3 linked regions of the Arabidopsis thaliana genome follow. The protein of the gene in region 3 interacts with the protein of the main gene of each other region in a pairwise test. Each region holds a gene or a part of one and is shown on either strand. Other genes may lie near its edges.

The links.
Region 1: the proteins of BBX29 (region 3) and BBX10 interact in a two-hybrid assay, tested with the Arabidopsis thaliana proteins (one large-scale study listed by BioGRID).
Region 2: the proteins of BBX29 (region 3) and BBX15 interact in a two-hybrid assay, tested with the Arabidopsis thaliana proteins (one large-scale study listed by BioGRID).

Annotation. Positions count from the first base shown.
Region 1 is NC_003074.8:7,703,643-7,709,703, forward strand, and holds BBX10 (B-box type zinc finger protein with CCT domain-containing protein), read left to right. Parts: upstream 1-2,614; 5' UTR 2,615-2,793; intron 2,794-3,007; 5' UTR 3,008-3,093; coding exon 3,094-3,591; intron 3,592-3,670; coding exon 3,671-3,898; intron 3,899-3,984; coding exon 3,985-4,235; intron 4,236-4,321; coding exon 4,322-4,451; 3' UTR 4,452-4,467; exon of another isoform or gene 4,468-4,548; intron 4,549-4,580; 3' UTR 4,581-4,704; downstream 4,705-6,061. Other genes in the region: CYCP2;1 (cyclin p2;1), read right to left, coding at 285-531, 786-1,171; BBX31 (B-box type zinc finger family protein), read right to left, coding at 5,656-6,021.
Region 2 is NC_003070.9:8,932,359-8,937,949, reverse strand, and holds BBX15 (B-box type zinc finger protein with CCT domain-containing protein), read left to right. Parts: upstream 1-2,405; 5' UTR 2,406-2,665; coding exon 2,666-3,664; intron 3,665-3,756; coding exon 3,757-4,011; 3' UTR 4,012-4,234; downstream 4,235-5,591.
Region 3 is NC_003076.8:22,113,222-22,118,496, reverse strand, and holds BBX29 (B-box type zinc finger family protein), read left to right. Parts: upstream 1-2,957; 5' UTR 2,958-3,181; coding exon 3,182-3,676; intron 3,677-3,760; coding exon 3,761-3,913; 3' UTR 3,914-4,193; downstream 4,194-5,275. Other genes in the region: AT5G54480 (hypothetical protein (DUF630 and DUF632)), read right to left, coding at 1-493.

The DNA.
Region 1 (6,061 bases), on a different chromosome or scaffold from region 3:
AGAAAATAGAGAGATGAACCTGAAGAACAAAACAACATGTGCAAAATGTAGGAAAAAATAGCTTATATCATTTAGTTGAAATCTACAAACTATTTAACTTAACAGATTTACATTGTAAAATCTCTAGTATACATAGTTTGAGATTTCAATTATTTTTCTCTAGCAAAAATTTGAGATAATTTCTTCAAAATATAAATAAAATTTCGATAGTTAGTGCGTAAACTTTTTCTGTCAACCAAACGCGTTCAGTTAAAAGTTATATTAAAAAAATTCATATACATATATCAAACATATAAAGATGATAAAGTAGATGCTGGAGAGAGACTTTCTTGCATTGGTTGAATATCTTTGAGGGAAGAAACGGCGTCGTTTAGTTGCATCTCTTTTTCGAGGTGAAAGCAATAGCTCTCGAAAACTCTAAAACTCACAGTAACTCTAAAGTCAAGAAGAAAGAGAAGCTCCAACTCCATTTTGTTCAAGTCTGCATTGCTTACGCCTCCAACCCGAGCATAGAACTCGTTGTTGTAGTGCCTGTGAATATGAAATTTGTTAGAAAAAACGAAAACCTCTCTTATCTCATCCAATACATGTTGAAACCTTGAAATCAATAACTTAAAAGGGGCACTTAACATACATATAGGTACAAAGTTTGTCCTCATTTTATATTGGTTAGATATAAAATGTATCTTTCATTTTGTTAATCAATTAAGATACAACTATGATCTATAGTTTCATGATTAGTCTAATTTCAAGATATTATAGAAATTCAAGAAAGGCTTACTTACACGTCATCTAGTATCTTGGCAGCAATCATGACACAAGTGACGAGGAGTCTATGAACATTCAAGGAGACAACCAAAGAACCAGGATGCTTATGAGCCAACCGGTCTATGTACACATACCCAACAACGAAACATGCCGGGCTACATTTTGTGTACTTATATATCCTCTCAAGGTATTTAGCTATACTTATGCTCGGCGCTCTCACGCCGTGAAACGCCTCCAAGCTCTTCCCAAATCCCTTAGTTTGCTTAGCTAACCACTCGTTTCGTGCCACGAGCTTCTCCATCACATGGGAGATTATAGTCAGCACTCTTGGAGTGGCTGCTTCCGTTGCCGATTCTGGTCCCACGACCGGGTCCAGTTCATCGTCTCCGGCTGCGGTTAACATGGGTTCTCTTCAGTTTTCGTTAATGGGCCATGTTGTATAGTTCGTTTTGGGTATATATGGCTTGTAGATTGGGTGGTTGAGATACGATGAGCTTAAGATGTTACGTGGGGATGTTATCATGTTTCGTCTGACTTTGGACGAGTGTGAGATGGTTTTGACACGTGTCACTTCGCGAGAAGATAGGATTCCGATGATTTTTGTATACCTTGAGCAATGAAATTAGTTATCATTTATCAAACAAATAACTTTATTTTCCACTTAATTTTCTGCATATTACTAGCATTATTACCCAAAATTAAGTTTCCGGGTCTTGGTCCATAATTTTCTCGTCCGGTACAATTTCCTTTGAAAAGTCTCACAGTACACAAATTTTACTACATACGCTGGAATATATTCTTGATGTAAATACTATATATAGATGTAAATTAATGTTAGATACATTATTTGAAAAAAGGCATACGCGTTGCCGGTCACTGCATACATGTTTAATGTTTTGATAAGGAGAGTTTATGCATAGGTCATATAATGTTATGTGGCCATTTTTTCTTATCTCTGTTTTGAAGTTCATTTATCTTTGTTTACGTTAATAGTTATCATGTTTCTTACTTTTATCTATCAAATCTATATATCATTTTCTTTGCATAAGGCATTTTTTTCTTAAATTGTATCCTTTTAAATAGTTAGGTTGGTGTGCAACTTCTTAAAAAGAAAAGTTAGTTCTTTGAGGATTATATCAAAAGATAATTACTAGTTCAAATTTTACAATTTTCTTTTAGAAACAAATTTTTTACGAAATAGCTGACAACATTTTTTAGGTTAGGAATCCCAAAATTTGAGGGTAGCCTGATCAAAAAGTTAGAAATGCTAACAACTTATTTCTATTCAAGAGTCAACTGCATAGCCATTATACATGCATGTACATTAAACTGATGATAATATAGAAGTTGATGTGGCCTAGTCTATTTCAAATGAAATGACTCAATGATCTCACATCTATATATCAAATGTTAGAGATACCAAAAGACATCACACAATTCAGAAAAACTGATAACTCTTTCAAACTAGTTGAGAACATATTTTCGAAAAAGAAACGTACGTGGCTCAATATTCAAGTAAATTACGACATGTATTACACGTATAAACGATATCAATAAATTTATTGGGAACCACAAGTAAGTAACACTAGTAATAGCTAGTATCGACCCGAAACAACGAGTTTTAAGGTTTGCCACAGAGCACAAAATCTATCGAGCAAGAAAAAAATCAGATAGTACTATCTTGACAAGCGATATAATCACAATTACCTATGCATGTCTTCATAATAAATCACGTCAAGGCTCATAATTACGCCACGTGGATTTTAACCGCGTGGACACACGTTTTCACAAGGTATAAAAGAAGCAACCCTACCTCTCTTTCTTCTACGTGATTCGCACACCACTGTAAAAGTGTAAAAAAACTCTTTTTTTGTTCTTCTTCACATTTCATTCGATTCAAAAAATATTCTGTTCTTAGATTGTAATCTGTTTTTTTTTCTGTAATCTCCCATTATTGGGTTTTGAATTTCTCGTCATTTTACGAAAAAGGTTGTGAATCGGCCTAATCGATCTCGGTCGTCATAAGTGAGTGCTTCTTCCTCCGTATTAGCTCTCAAAAACATTTGTGTTTCTATTTGAAACGTAACAATTTACGATATTTTTCCTCACAAATTAATGTAATTGAAACACAAAACCCTATCATGCATGATGCACCCATATATTACCATCTTTAATTCCAAAATCATCATTTTCCTTCCATGATTTGTATCTGAAATGGTCATGCATCTATGTTGCGCAGGATCTTACGTGTGTTTTACTAATCGTGAAACAATATCAACGTCAGATTCTTCTCTATACACTTTTCTTTAAGTTTACCCAATCATCATGTCTCCAAGTATGGAGCCAAAGTGTGACCATTGTGCAACCTCGCAAGCATTGATTTACTGCAAATCCGATTTGGCTAAACTATGCCTAAACTGCGACGTCCATGTACACTCTGCGAATCCTCTGTCTCACAGGCACATACGCTCTTTGATCTGCGAGAAATGCTTCTCACAGCCAGCCGCAATCCGCTGTCTCGACGAGAAGGTTTCATACTGCCAAGGATGTCATTGGCACGAAAGCAACTGTTCGGAGTTAGGACACAGAGTTCAGAGCTTGAATCCTTTCTCTGGTTGTCCTTCTCCTACAGATTTTAACAGAATGTGGTCTTCAATTCTTGAACCTCCTGTCTCCGGCTTGCTTAGTCCGTTCGTTGGTTCTTTTCCCTTGAATGATCTCAACAATACCATGTTCGATACCGCTTATTCCATGGTACCACACAACATCAGTTACACTCAGAATTTCAGTGATAATTTGTCTTTCTTTTCCACGGAATCTAAGGTAATAATTAAAGGAGTGAAAAGTGTTCCTTATAAGTTCTTGATGAAAAATACAGTTCTTATTTGTGTGTATGTTCCAGGGATATCCTGATATGGTTCTTAAACTTGAAGAAGGAGAAGAAGATCTATGTGAAGGGCTTAACTTGGATGATGCACCATTAAACTTTGACGTAGGAGATGATATTATCGGATGTTCATCAGAAGTACACATAGAACCGGACCATACGGTACCAAATTGCCTATTGATTGACAAGACTAACACATCCAGCTTTACCGGCTCCAACTTTACTGTAGACAAGGCTCTAGAGGTCTCTTTCGCTTTTTTGTTGTCGTTGTTGTAGTTTCTAGTACCTCAAGAAAGTTTCTAATATAAATTGTGTTATTCTGTTTCCAGGCATCGCCACCAGGTCAGCAAATGAACATCAACACTGGACTTCAGCTTCCTCTATCACCTGTCTTGTTCGGACAAATCCATCCATCTCTTAACATCACTGGTGAAAACAATGCAGCTGATTACCAGGATTGTGGGATGTCTCCAGGGTTTATAATGAGTGAAGCGCCATGGGAAACGAATTTTGAAGTTAGTTGTCCACAAGCAAGAAACGAGGCTAAGTTGAGATACAAGGAGAAGAAATTAAAGCGCTCGTAAGTTTATTACTAATCATTACAAAACAGAGTTTATACCAACTTGGATCAGGTTTAATGGTGTTTTTCTTTTTTTTTAATTGTAGTTTTGGGAAACAGATTCGATATGCATCTCGCAAAGCAAGAGCTGACACGAGGAAAAGAGTGAAAGGAAGATTTGTGAAAGCTGGTGACAGTTATGATTATGATCCATCATCACCGACGACGAACAATTGAAATTTACAAAAATAATGTACAGTCTTCTTTCCCAAACAGACTTAAACCATGCTTCATGATGATGATAAAGGTTGGTAAAAACAGTTTCTTGTCGGGAAAGTAATGTATTGTTTGTCTTATTGTGTATAGTTTTTGTGAATCGAAGAAATCAACATGTTGAGGCATGGGAACGTTGGAGAACTAAATAAAGTTGGTGGAAAGCCAAAATGGTGAAAATTATTTAGTAACTTCTTTTATTTACAGAATCTCTTTTGTTTTTGATTATTTTTAAGTTGGGTTTTTCCTTTTATAGGACAAATCCTAATTTATCTCTTTATAAATAAATTTCCTAGCTGTTTTTTTTTTTATTAATAATAAAGTAGCAGTGATTACAATCTGCTCCATTACAGAGCTCGCGTTTAACGTGTTTCAAGAGAACAATTCTCTACTTATTAAGCATTGCATTATGAAGATGTTTCACTTGCAAAAAGTTTAGTTATTACCCCACTGGTTTAGAACCAATTGGTTCTTAGTTTTGAATCTTAACCTTATTTTAAATTAAAATGTTGTTTTTACTAAGTTAAGAAAAGTTAGGAGGAAGTTTAACTAATTTCTATTTCAATGGTTAAGAACTATTGGATTCTTAAAAAACAACAATTCAAAAATGTCTATCCACTCAAAATACAACACATATACTCTTCTTAGTTTTAAGAAAACATCTTAATTAAGATGTTTATCTTAGCTAAGGTTTGTTGTTTCATTAAATTTAATCACTTTTATTGCTAAGAATACAAGGCTGGAGTTGCTTTTATGTACCTTTAAATTAAGGAAAATGACAAGTCCAAAGAAGTAGTGAGAAAGATTTACTACACTAAAATAAATATCTAACAAAATACCAAACAGAGAGTTTGGTGAGTTAATTTTTTTTTACAGCAGTTTTATGGAACTTTTTGTTTGTTGGTTACAAACATTGCTTAGTAGAAAAAAGCAAAAGATTCGAAGAATAACTCAATAACAACAAACGATCCTTGTTTCTTCCCTTTCTATTGCAGATATTTTTTGCTATTTTTAGTCACTACCCATTTCTTAAAATTCTTTTTTTTTTTTCATTACACATTTCTTAAAATTCTAAGCTTCATAAAATTAAAATTTTCAGATTTTTCTTAAAAGAAAATTGCATAAAAACCCTAGAATATTTATAGCTTACACCAAAAAAATCTAATAATCAGAGAAAAACAAACGGAACCTCATGATTATCTTGTTCACTTCTATTCTCCACGGTGGTTTCTCCGACCGTCGTCACCGACGGTAAAACAACGTGGAAGTCATGATCTCCGACGAGGCACCGGCGCGTGAGTTTCTGACAAGAAGTGCATAGCACGCGCCTTACGTGTCTCCAAGCTAGAAAATTCGCTCCATGAACCCACCGGTCACATTTTCTACAGAGGAACGCCGAGTCCGCTTCACAGAACACGGAGGCGTCTCCGTCGCAAAGCTCACACCTTACCGGAACACTCGGTCTCGTGCAGAGACTCCGGCAACCTCCTCCGTCACTTCTTCTGCTCTCTTCATTATTCAAGCCTCTACACATTTTTCTCAATCTCTTTCTTGATCTGTTTCACTTTCTCTTT
Region 2 (5,591 bases), on a different chromosome or scaffold from region 3:
TTTTCTATTATACATGTTAAGGTGTAAATTCAATAACTCATGTTAAGGTTTAATTTGTATCAATATTGGGTGACATCTTCATATATAATACTGAAACGTAAAAAGTTAGTGGGTTGTGTCCAAACCGCACCATTTTAAGATGAGTTATAGGATTCTTATTTAGATATAAAGAATTAGTTTCATAGGATAGATTGGATGCAATAATCAACCTTCAAAGTACTAAACCATCTCTCTCCAAACGAGCATTGGGATCTAGAAATAAGGACTTAACTTTCTTTTAAAGAGTTTTTGATAACCAAATGAGCTATCATCAGCCCATCTCCAATTCACCGAAAAAGATTGAGTGAAACTTATGGAAGGCGTAAGAGAAAAATACGGTGTCATGTCTCACAAGTTCACAACTATAATTTGGATTGGGATAGGCAACTGCAATAGGCGTGGGCGGTTCTTTTAATTTTGTAATAACTGAAAGCAGCAATTTGTTGTTACGTAGAGTGTACGTAGTCTATGCATGTGGTTTCATGCTTTTACTCTCTACCCAATACTTTTATTTTAGTTTCTGCTAATTACCTGGCTAGGCCCATCTTCTATCACATCTCGTTTTTCTCCTTTTATTTTTTTCGTTCTTTTATGTCCAATGAGTCTGGTTTAGTGAATGGTCAAAACTTAATACCGAAGGTATAGTACATACCATTTTTTTATTTTTTTATTAACGAGGGTGTTTGAACCTACATATGTCTCAGTTTCAATTTTACGGTTTCCGTAAGAATTTGTAGGGATTCGTGGGCTCGAATTATGGGGCTTGTATTAAAATTTATAAAGTAAAGTTCGTTTGCAGAATTTTATTAATTATATCGGCCCATATATATTTGAGTTTTGAGCCGACACATTATTTAGCCCAGTGATAAAGGCCTCTTACGTAACTCGATCAGTCCTCCCTCATCTCTAATAAACAACATGTTCTTCACTTTTTTCTTTTTTTTTCTACAGAAATACAATCCAAAAAATTACTTGTTCATGTAAAATAATATGTGAGAATTAATGTTATACTTTGTAACCAAACTGATTAGCCTTCAATATTAGTGGATCCATAGTCATTAATTAATCGTAGTTTAGTGGTATTAACTCCATTTGAGTTTTTTTTTTTATTTCACTTTGCTATTGAAATAGGAAATATTGTCATTTAAATATAGTATTATGTTTTCGATTTTAAAATCCTAGTAATAGTGGCTGCTCGTTCTTCTTATGATAATGAGGCTTCCTACATTTAATTGTGTGCATCAAATGTACATCTATATATCAATAACATAAGTAGATTGGATGGAATGTGAATGCAAATTTATAATTCTAATCATATACTTAGGTTATAACCCTAAACAAATGTAATTTTGTTTTCATGAAATATCTTATTAATCATGTTACCAATAAAGTTATGCTTACTAATTGCTTTTTTCCTTATGCTAACCAGTAATTAGTGGGTATAGTTGACATGATGATAACATATGTGATTGAATTGTAATAATGCGACATTATGAATAAAACATGTTACTAAAAATGAATACATGTTAATATCACCCGTGAAACTATTATCTTTGATGAAAATAAAATTACAAATTACGCATTTTTAAGGTTATTTACTAAATAAAACTTACCTTTTGTCTTACCATATTTCTCTTGGGTACAATATCGCCTTTCTCCAAATGAGGATATCACTTTTGTCTAGGTAATAGTTCATATCACATGAGTAGTCTTTATTATGATTTTATATTGATAGCTATAATTAACTCTGTGTTGATAATAATATTTTCTATTGGACAAGACTAACCAATAGATAAATGAACCTGGCAACACATGGTGCACCAAAATAAGAATAATTAATAATAAATATTGTACCAATTTATCATTTATGATAAATCTCCACATTCATTTTCTTAAATTTATTTGTTTAATCAAATAATCAACCATTGTAGCTTAAAAACTTCTATCCAATCAAATCTTCCTTCAACTTCAAACTTCAAAAAATTGAATCAATGCTTTTTGCTAAGATATTTCTCAGATTTCTAAAAAGTGAATCAATGTTTGTTGATAAGTATTACCAAAATTGGAGAAAAACTATTTAGCTAAAAAAATTATTTTATCCATAGTCAAAGTTAGTAGTTATTATATAGTCTCTAAAAAAATGGTGGAAGAAAAGGAAAAAATGTCAAAGCTGAAACCTTTGCTACTAAAAAAAGGAAAAAAGAAATAACAAAAATCACAAAAAGTCTTGAATATTGAAAAAAAAAAAAGAGTGATTGGGCAAGGAAAACGACAAGGTAGACCACACAAGAAATCCAATGGATAAAGAAGCTGACCAATTAAAACACTATTACGAAGATCATCTTCAGAACTCAACCAATCACAAATCAGATAAGGCCTCGTCATGGGTCCCTAACTGAAGACATAAACACCCAAAAAGTACATAATTTTTCTTATAACTTCAAAAATCCACTGACACAAAAGGGAATGCGCTTCATGCGGGTCATCCTCTTAATCTCAAACTCTCTAGGACTACACTAAATCTAACTTTTTGCAGAGAGCAAAAGATTCAATAATTGAGATTGATCTCAAAACCAAAGCTCTCGTGCTCTTGTCGTTGATGTTGGTTGTGTAGACTTTGTATACAATGATGAAAAGTTTGGCGAATGCTGTTGGAGCGAAGACGGCGAGGGCTTGCGACAGCTGCGTGAAGAGACGTGCACGGTGGTACTGCGCGGCCGACGATGCTTTTCTTTGCCAGTCTTGCGACAGTTTGGTCCATTCAGCAAACCCTCTTGCTCGCCGCCACGAGAGAGTCCGTTTGAAGACGGCTAGCCCGGCGGTCGTAAAGCATAGCAACCACTCATCAGCTTCTCCTCCACATGAGGTCGCCACGTGGCATCACGGGTTTACTCGTAAAGCTCGAACGCCACGTGGCTCTGGTAAGAAAAACAATTCGTCGATATTTCATGACTTGGTTCCTGATATTAGTATTGAGGATCAGACAGACAACTATGAGCTTGAAGAGCAGCTGATCTGTCAAGTGCCGGTTCTAGATCCGTTGGTGTCTGAGCAGTTCTTGAACGATGTCGTTGAGCCCAAGATCGAGTTTCCTATGATCAGAAGTGGTTTGATGATCGAGGAGGAGGAAGACAACGCTGAAAGTTGTCTTAATGGATTTTTCCCGACCGACATGGAGCTTGAGGAGTTTGCTGCTGACGTGGAGACTCTGCTCGGTCGCGGGTTAGACACGGAGTCGTATGCCATGGAGGAGCTAGGGTTATCTAATTCAGAGATGTTCAAAATCGAAAAAGATGAGATTGAAGAAGAAGTAGAAGAGATAAAAGCCATGAGCATGGATATATTTGATGATGATCGAAAAGACGTGGATGGAACAGTACCGTTTGAGCTAAGCTTTGATTACGAGTCGTCACACAAGACGTCCGAAGAAGAGGTAATGAAGAACGTTGAAAGTAGTGGTGAATGTGTTGTTAAGGTGAAAGAGGAAGAACATAAGAATGTTCTGATGCTAAGATTAAACTATGACTCGGTGATATCCACTTGGGGAGGTCAAGGTCCACCGTGGAGTTCAGGAGAGCCACCGGAACGAGACATGGACATCAGCGGTTGGCCAGCCTTTTCCATGGTACGTTATTTAAAATCCTCATTCTTATAGAATTCAAATAAAAGTGAGTTTACTGTTCTCAAATTTCTAAAAGTTGAAATAATATGTTTTAGGTGGAGAATGGAGGAGAAAGTACTCATCAGAAGCAATACGTTGGTGGATGTTTACCATCAAGTGGGTTTGGAGATGGAGGTAGAGAAGCTAGAGTTTCGAGATACAGAGAGAAGAGGAGGACAAGGTTGTTTTCTAAGAAGATACGGTACGAGGTACGTAAATTGAATGCAGAGAAAAGACCACGAATGAAAGGAAGATTCGTGAAGAGAGCCTCGCTCGCTGCTGCTGCTTCACCATTAGGTGTTAATTACTGAATAGTTAATATCTATTCATGTTATATCTCACTTTACAAATTTCGGTGAATCTTTTTTCTTCTGAAACAACAGAAGTTATTTTGGCACTTAATTGTGCTTTGAGGACTTGTATGTACATAGAAGTAACCAATAATAATGTGACTTTTACTTGTATTGATAGCACTGATGTATATATCTGGTAATAAGAATGTGCAAACTGCAAAGGCATTTTGATTGTTAAATTACTCTATCTTAAACATGTTTACCATGGAACGAACATAAGAACAAAAAACTGATTCTCTTAAAAAAAATCGATTGATCATCTTTACGAACTCTAAAAAATAAGAAATAGTTTTAAACTATTTGAAAAACTTTTTGATATCTGGTAACACTATATTATCCTAAAAGAATCAGAATCGGGATTTCAAACACAAAAATGGCTAGACAGCAAACTATAATATGCAGAATGAACAAGTTTTCCGTGAATTGTCATTGTCATTGCCAATTGATGTCGCATTTTTTTCTGTATAGTCCAATTTCTTCTTAATTTCTAGCTAAAAGATGAAAATGGCTACTAACTACCACACAAGCGTATATTGGACCAAATATCTATAAGCGTTAATATCATCAAATCGTTATCAACGACCCATTATTAATTGTGGTACATAAGAAATGTTAATATTGGTGGTGTTTGATATTATTGGTAAGATGGATAATTTCAAACAAGTTTTGTTTGATACCAACATAAGAACGAAATTTCTTGGTACCAACCGATAATAAGTTGGAAGCCGAAATTTCTTCTTTTTCTCTCTCCTTTTTCTCCCTGACCTAGTTTTCTCGCCCCCTCTTCTCCCCCCGACGCCGGCCTCACGCTGGTGGTCGGAAATTTCTTCCTGCTCTCATGCCGAAGAAGAAAAAGAAGCCCATTAGAGGGGCTGTCCCTGGTTCGTCTAAATTTGCTGCAGTCTACGCTCGCGCTGTTGCTCCTCTCGTGAGCAAAAGCCGTGTTGTTGCCGCTCGGTCTAGGGAGGAGTCTGCCTCTAGACCTCATCCTTCTTTGGTTTCAGATCTGTCACTGACCCCAGTCTCGGATTTAGTGTTGACTCCAGATCCGCAGTCTGCTGCAAGTGCGCCTGTCCCCACCGTCGATGGCTCCGCCTCCGGTGTTGCGACGTCCGTCAATTCAGAGGCAAATAGTGCTTTGTCTTCAGCCTCCCTAGACCAATCGACTGTCAATGAGACAGACTTGGTCAGTTCTTCTCAAGTCGGGGTGATAGCTCAGCTGCCACCAAAGTCTGTCTTGTCTTCTCCGCTCCCTGCCGAGCAAGGCATAACCGTTGGAACTTCTCCGGTGGAGGCTCCAGTGATTGGATCTCAACCCGTTAGTTCGGGCTCCGCGCTCTGGGTGGACCGGGTTAAGGGCTCTGCTAAGAAGCTCGCAAAAAAAGGTTCCTCCTTCACTCTCCCTTCTGGGGAGCTCTGTGTCAAAATCCCAAACTCGGTAATTGAGAGGAACAAGAAGTCCTGGGACTTCTTCATCTTGGGGCAATTCTACTCTGATCCCCCCGCTCAGGGAACGATTCATAACATTGCAAATGGAA
Region 3 (5,275 bases):
GGTGTTGCGAACTTTTCATCTCGTCTTCACTTGGATCACTAACGAACTGTGTCCCCTCAAACCCTAAACCTTCTCTTGACTTCTCCATACCCTCTTGACCATTGTTACTTGCACCGCAAGTTCCATCACCAACCACGGGTTTTCGCTGACTCTGATCGTCATTATTGCTCAACGGAGCTGTTTGAGGTTGATCACAGACTATACAATCAGAATCAGAATCTGAATCAGAATCCGTATCCGAGTCTGAATCTGATCCAGAACAAATTATATCACTACTAGACGAATCATCATCGGAATACGGAATCACAACCAAATCCTTATGAAGAAACTGTTTAAGAGCTTTGCTGAAATCTAAAAGAGATTTAAAGTAAAGAAGATGAGATCTCGCTAAGTGATAACGAGCATCTCTAGCTGCTTTGATCAATTCCTTCCTCTCCTTACATAGATTCAACAATGGAGTATTACTATCTCCCTTGGAAGCAACGATACCCATTAAACCCTCTTGAATGATCTCTCGAAATCGGTTAAACCCTAATTTGATTTCCTCGCTTTAACAATTGATATTTCGTGGATTGATTGAGTTGTTGTACCTTTTGACGACATCACTAAAAAGTAAAAACCTTGTTTGGCAGAAGTACGACTTGATGATGAACCCTAATTAGAAACAAATTCGATTTATTTTGTAGAGCGACGCTGAAGTTAAACCGTGTTTGATTTCCTTTTTTTTGGTTAAGGTTAGTATATAATTTTAAGAAAAGGAATTAGATGAAAAGGAAATTTGTAGCTAAATGGAAAAAATCTCACAGTAAATAAGAAGATTAAAAACAATAAGTTACATGTAATTAATGTATGGGGGCACGTTATATAATTGATATTAAGATCAGCTAATGATGGAGTGTGTAAATTAAATTTCATTGACACTACAAATATATTTTCGCAATTCCTTACCAAAAAACAAATATATATGAAGTTATTTTCTTACAGTACAAAGTTGATGTTTTGATACTTGTATCTTGTAGTATCGAGATCTTGAATTTTCATTATGGAATTTGGTTGACCAGTTTGACAAATAAAATGATGCACCTCTCATAGAGTCATCGGTATCCCTGATAAAAAGAATCAAACGTGGAATGGTCCGAATGAATAAAATCTTAGTGTACATATATATAAATCATATAATTTGATAGAATTTATGTTGAAAATGTAAATAATATGTATTTTTATCAACAAAAAAATTTAAAATTATTATAATTGGGTTGATCACCCATACTGAACAAATTTAACAATTTCTATTGTAAATTTGTAATCCACTTCTCTTTTTAATAAATCTTTAAAGAAACTTGCAAAAGAAAACATAAATGGAAAAGAACTAACAAAAAATAAGGAGTAATTCGTAAGATAGATGTGTATTGATTCGAGGCTTCTTCTAAGTTGTTCTAAAGTTGTCATCCACAAACATTTAAAAGTAAAAAAACAAAAAACCATAAAACTCAAAACACCTCCACTCATCAGCGCTTTTTTAATGCATGTGGCTCTCAAATGAAGACATCTCGTGTTCCTTTGATTCTTCACAATTCACACTTCACCCTTTACACCACTAATCTTCGCCACGTAAAAATTTCTCAAGCATGTTACGTAGGCCCAACTTTACCATTTTTTTTGTTCTTATATATATTTTACGTATTATTTGTTATCCTAAAATGACTTTCAATCCATCTTTGCTAGTCTTAATCTCGATTTCGTGATACAAATTAATTCCTTTGATCAAATGAATACAAATAATCAAATTAATTCATCTTTGATCATAGATGAATTAGTTTGTTCTATGGATCAAAACCACAGATCAAACTCTATCATACAAAAATCGTTGTGATTTTCTTTTAAAAACTCACAACTGTAAACATTTGAAATGACAAAAAATATTTGTCTAACTACAAGCTTCTTAGCTATCTATCTATCCTGTTTTTTAGATAAAAATTCGTAATACCTTTCATTTTTTTAATCCAGGTTTAATAATTTTTCAAATATATATTCTATATTCTTTTTAATTACCATTAGCAAATAACAAGTAATATATCGAATTGCCAATGATGTGAAGTAAAAATGTAAAATTAGTGGTTGGATTTATTTATTTATTTTTATTTAGAGAAAAAGACATTTAACTCGAATTATGTAAAATATGGAACGCTAAAAGTGGTTGATAAAATCATAAAATTAGGTTCTTCTCCTAGTAACCATGTTGATTCATGGACACCAAAATTTCCGAACCCAAAATGCGATATTAAAAATCCGATCATCATTATTATCCTACCGTAATACCAACGATATAAATGATATTTAATTCACTTTTCATTTTCGAAAACAAAACGCTTGGACCGGAACGAGAGAGGAATACTGAAAAAAGTAAAAAATGAAAGAAAAAAGAGTGGACCCATTAGACGTGTATTGAGGACCAGACAAATCCCAGGTGCGGATCACGTGGTTCTAAGTCTATTACAGAACCTGATTCGTCCACGTAGGATAACTCAGAATCTTCCCTCTCCTCTATACGAGGCTAATATCTCGCCACGTCATTAACTAAAAATCTAACCGCATAAAAATATCTGATGAAACATAAAACGAATAATATCTCGACACGTAAGACTTCGCCCATAGGAGAGCCTTGTCCCAGTACATGGTTTCAGGACCAAGTAAATAACAACATTTCCTTTAATTTTTATTATTATTATCATCTCTCCTAAATTTAAGAATTCGAGAATAATACTCAGCCGCGGAAACCTTAATCAATTTCAAACACAGATTTAGAACTACTAATACAAAATTATCCACAAATTATCCACCATAAAAATTAAAGTTTGAACGAATCCTTTAATCTTATTCTAATTTAAAATTAGGAAGCTTCTTTGCATTTCATTAAAAAATTACGTGAAAAATCGTTTCGTTAATATCAAAAAGACGACAATATCCTCGAAAAGAATTAAATCACATAAAAGTCGCCACGAAATTCTCATTTTACAATTCTCTATTACGCTGTCTCTTATTCGTGTCCGCAGAAGAAACGAGAGAAGAGAGAGAAGCAAAAGACCTTACCAAGAATATTTATAACACACAAACATCTAGAGACAGAGATAGACATAGAGAGAGAGCTTGTGGTTGTGGTTGTGCGAGATAATATCTAGAGATGGGGAAGAAGAAGTGCGAGTTATGTTGTGGTGTAGCGAGAATGTATTGTGAGTCAGATCAAGCGAGTTTATGTTGGGATTGTGACGGTAAAGTTCACGGAGCTAATTTTCTGGTGGCGAAACACATGCGTTGTCTTCTATGTAGCGCGTGTCAGTCACACACGCCTTGGAAAGCTTCTGGGCTGAATCTTGGCCCAACTGTTTCTATCTGTGAGTCTTGTTTAGCTCGTAAGAAGAATAACAACAGCTCCCTCGCCGGGAGGGATCAGAATCTTAACCAAGAAGAAGAGATCATTGGTTGTAACGACGGAGCTGAGTCTTATGATGAGGAAAGCGATGAGGATGAAGAAGAAGAAGAAGTGGAGAATCAGGTTGTTCCGGCTGCGGTGGAGCAAGAACTTCCGGTGGTGAGTTCGTCGTCTTCGGTTAGTAGTGGTGAAGGAGATCAGGTGGTGAAAAGGACGAGACTTGATTTGGATCTTAACCTCTCCGATGTATGAATATGAATCTTTTTCTTTATCTTCTTTTATTATTAGGAAATGATTAAGAAATCTGAAACAATTCTTTTTGAAATGCAGGAGGAGAACCAATCTAGACCATTGAAAAGATTATCGAGAGACGAAGGTTTGTCAAGATCAACTGTTGTGATGAATAGCTCAATCGTGAAATTACACGGAGGGAGGAGAAAAGCAGAGGGATGTGATACATCATCGTCGTCTTCGTTTTATTGAAATCGCCAAGGAAAGTAGAGATTGTAGCCGTTGATGATTCTTTTGTTTGGTTGATTAGATTAATCCTCATCGTTCATTTACTAACAACAATACTTTTAGTGAGTTGAGTTAGTTTAAAAACATTTCAATATAATGATTTTTTTTTGTGTTTTTTTTTCTGTGTTACCTAGAATATATATGTTCATATGTCTAGTATAAAATCATATAACATAAAAAATAAAATGAAGCAAAGTTGTTCAGAAAATGATTAAGAAAATGAAGCTGTTTTCTATTTATTTATTTTTTAACGAAAATGATTAAGAAAATTAATTAGTGAAACAAGAGATATTATTATAAATTTATAACGTGAGAAGGATTACCAGCCAAAACCAAAATTTATTATGATGTCAATTTTATTTGCCTTCCCAGAACTAGAAGTGTCTGTGTCATTGTGATGTTACAACTGAAGAGTACATAACGTATGAATGTCCGTTAGCTTTGTAAATTGTAACTACGACCACTAAAAAGAATCAAACAAAAAAGTTGTCAAGACTTAGAAAAAAGAAGATATTTAGTACCATGGGGTCCTCCTTTAAAGTTTTTTTAAAAAAAATTTATTTGTCAAACGCTTTGAACCCATCGTGTCTTTTGTATCTAAACCGTGTTCGAAGCTCCAAAAAAATAAAAAATGATGCTCTCATGATTTATATGTAACTAAATAAATTGGTTTTATTTCTAATTTTGAATCTATTTGTTTTGTGAGAAATGAGAAGATCCAAGTTTTTGGTTTCTTGATCGTATATGATAAATACAGTATACAGTAATTCAATTCATGGTAGTTAGAGAATTGGACGGCGAATGTCTACCAGATATTTTATTTATTTAAATTGAATGAAAGTAGTGAAAACATGTGGTTCTCATTGCATCTCTTTGCAAAGACCGATCATTTAAGCCGTCTTCAAAATACTAAAATATGAATATAATAATTAGAGATCATAATTTTAATTTAAGGTTTACACTTGGATAAATACTTGCGGATACGATGACATCACCTTTGAGTTAAACTTCCTTTCGAAGTCAGAAATACAAAAAGTCAACCCCAAGCATTAATCCACGAGTCTCTTTATTTCATTATTAGAGTTTAACATTCATGTTTAATGCATATAAACACTTCATTATCAAAGTGTTGGACTTTGTTCGTTAAATCCCAAATCATTTAGCAACCGATTGAGTTTGTTCGATCTGTTTTATATGTCTTTTTAGCCATATTTACATAAATGATGAAAAACAAAAGAATCGTTGGCCGGATATTGTTTCGCGATGACGATTTTCTTTCATCAGAATTGGAGTATCAGGTGGCCGAGGTTGGTGGTCGATGACCTA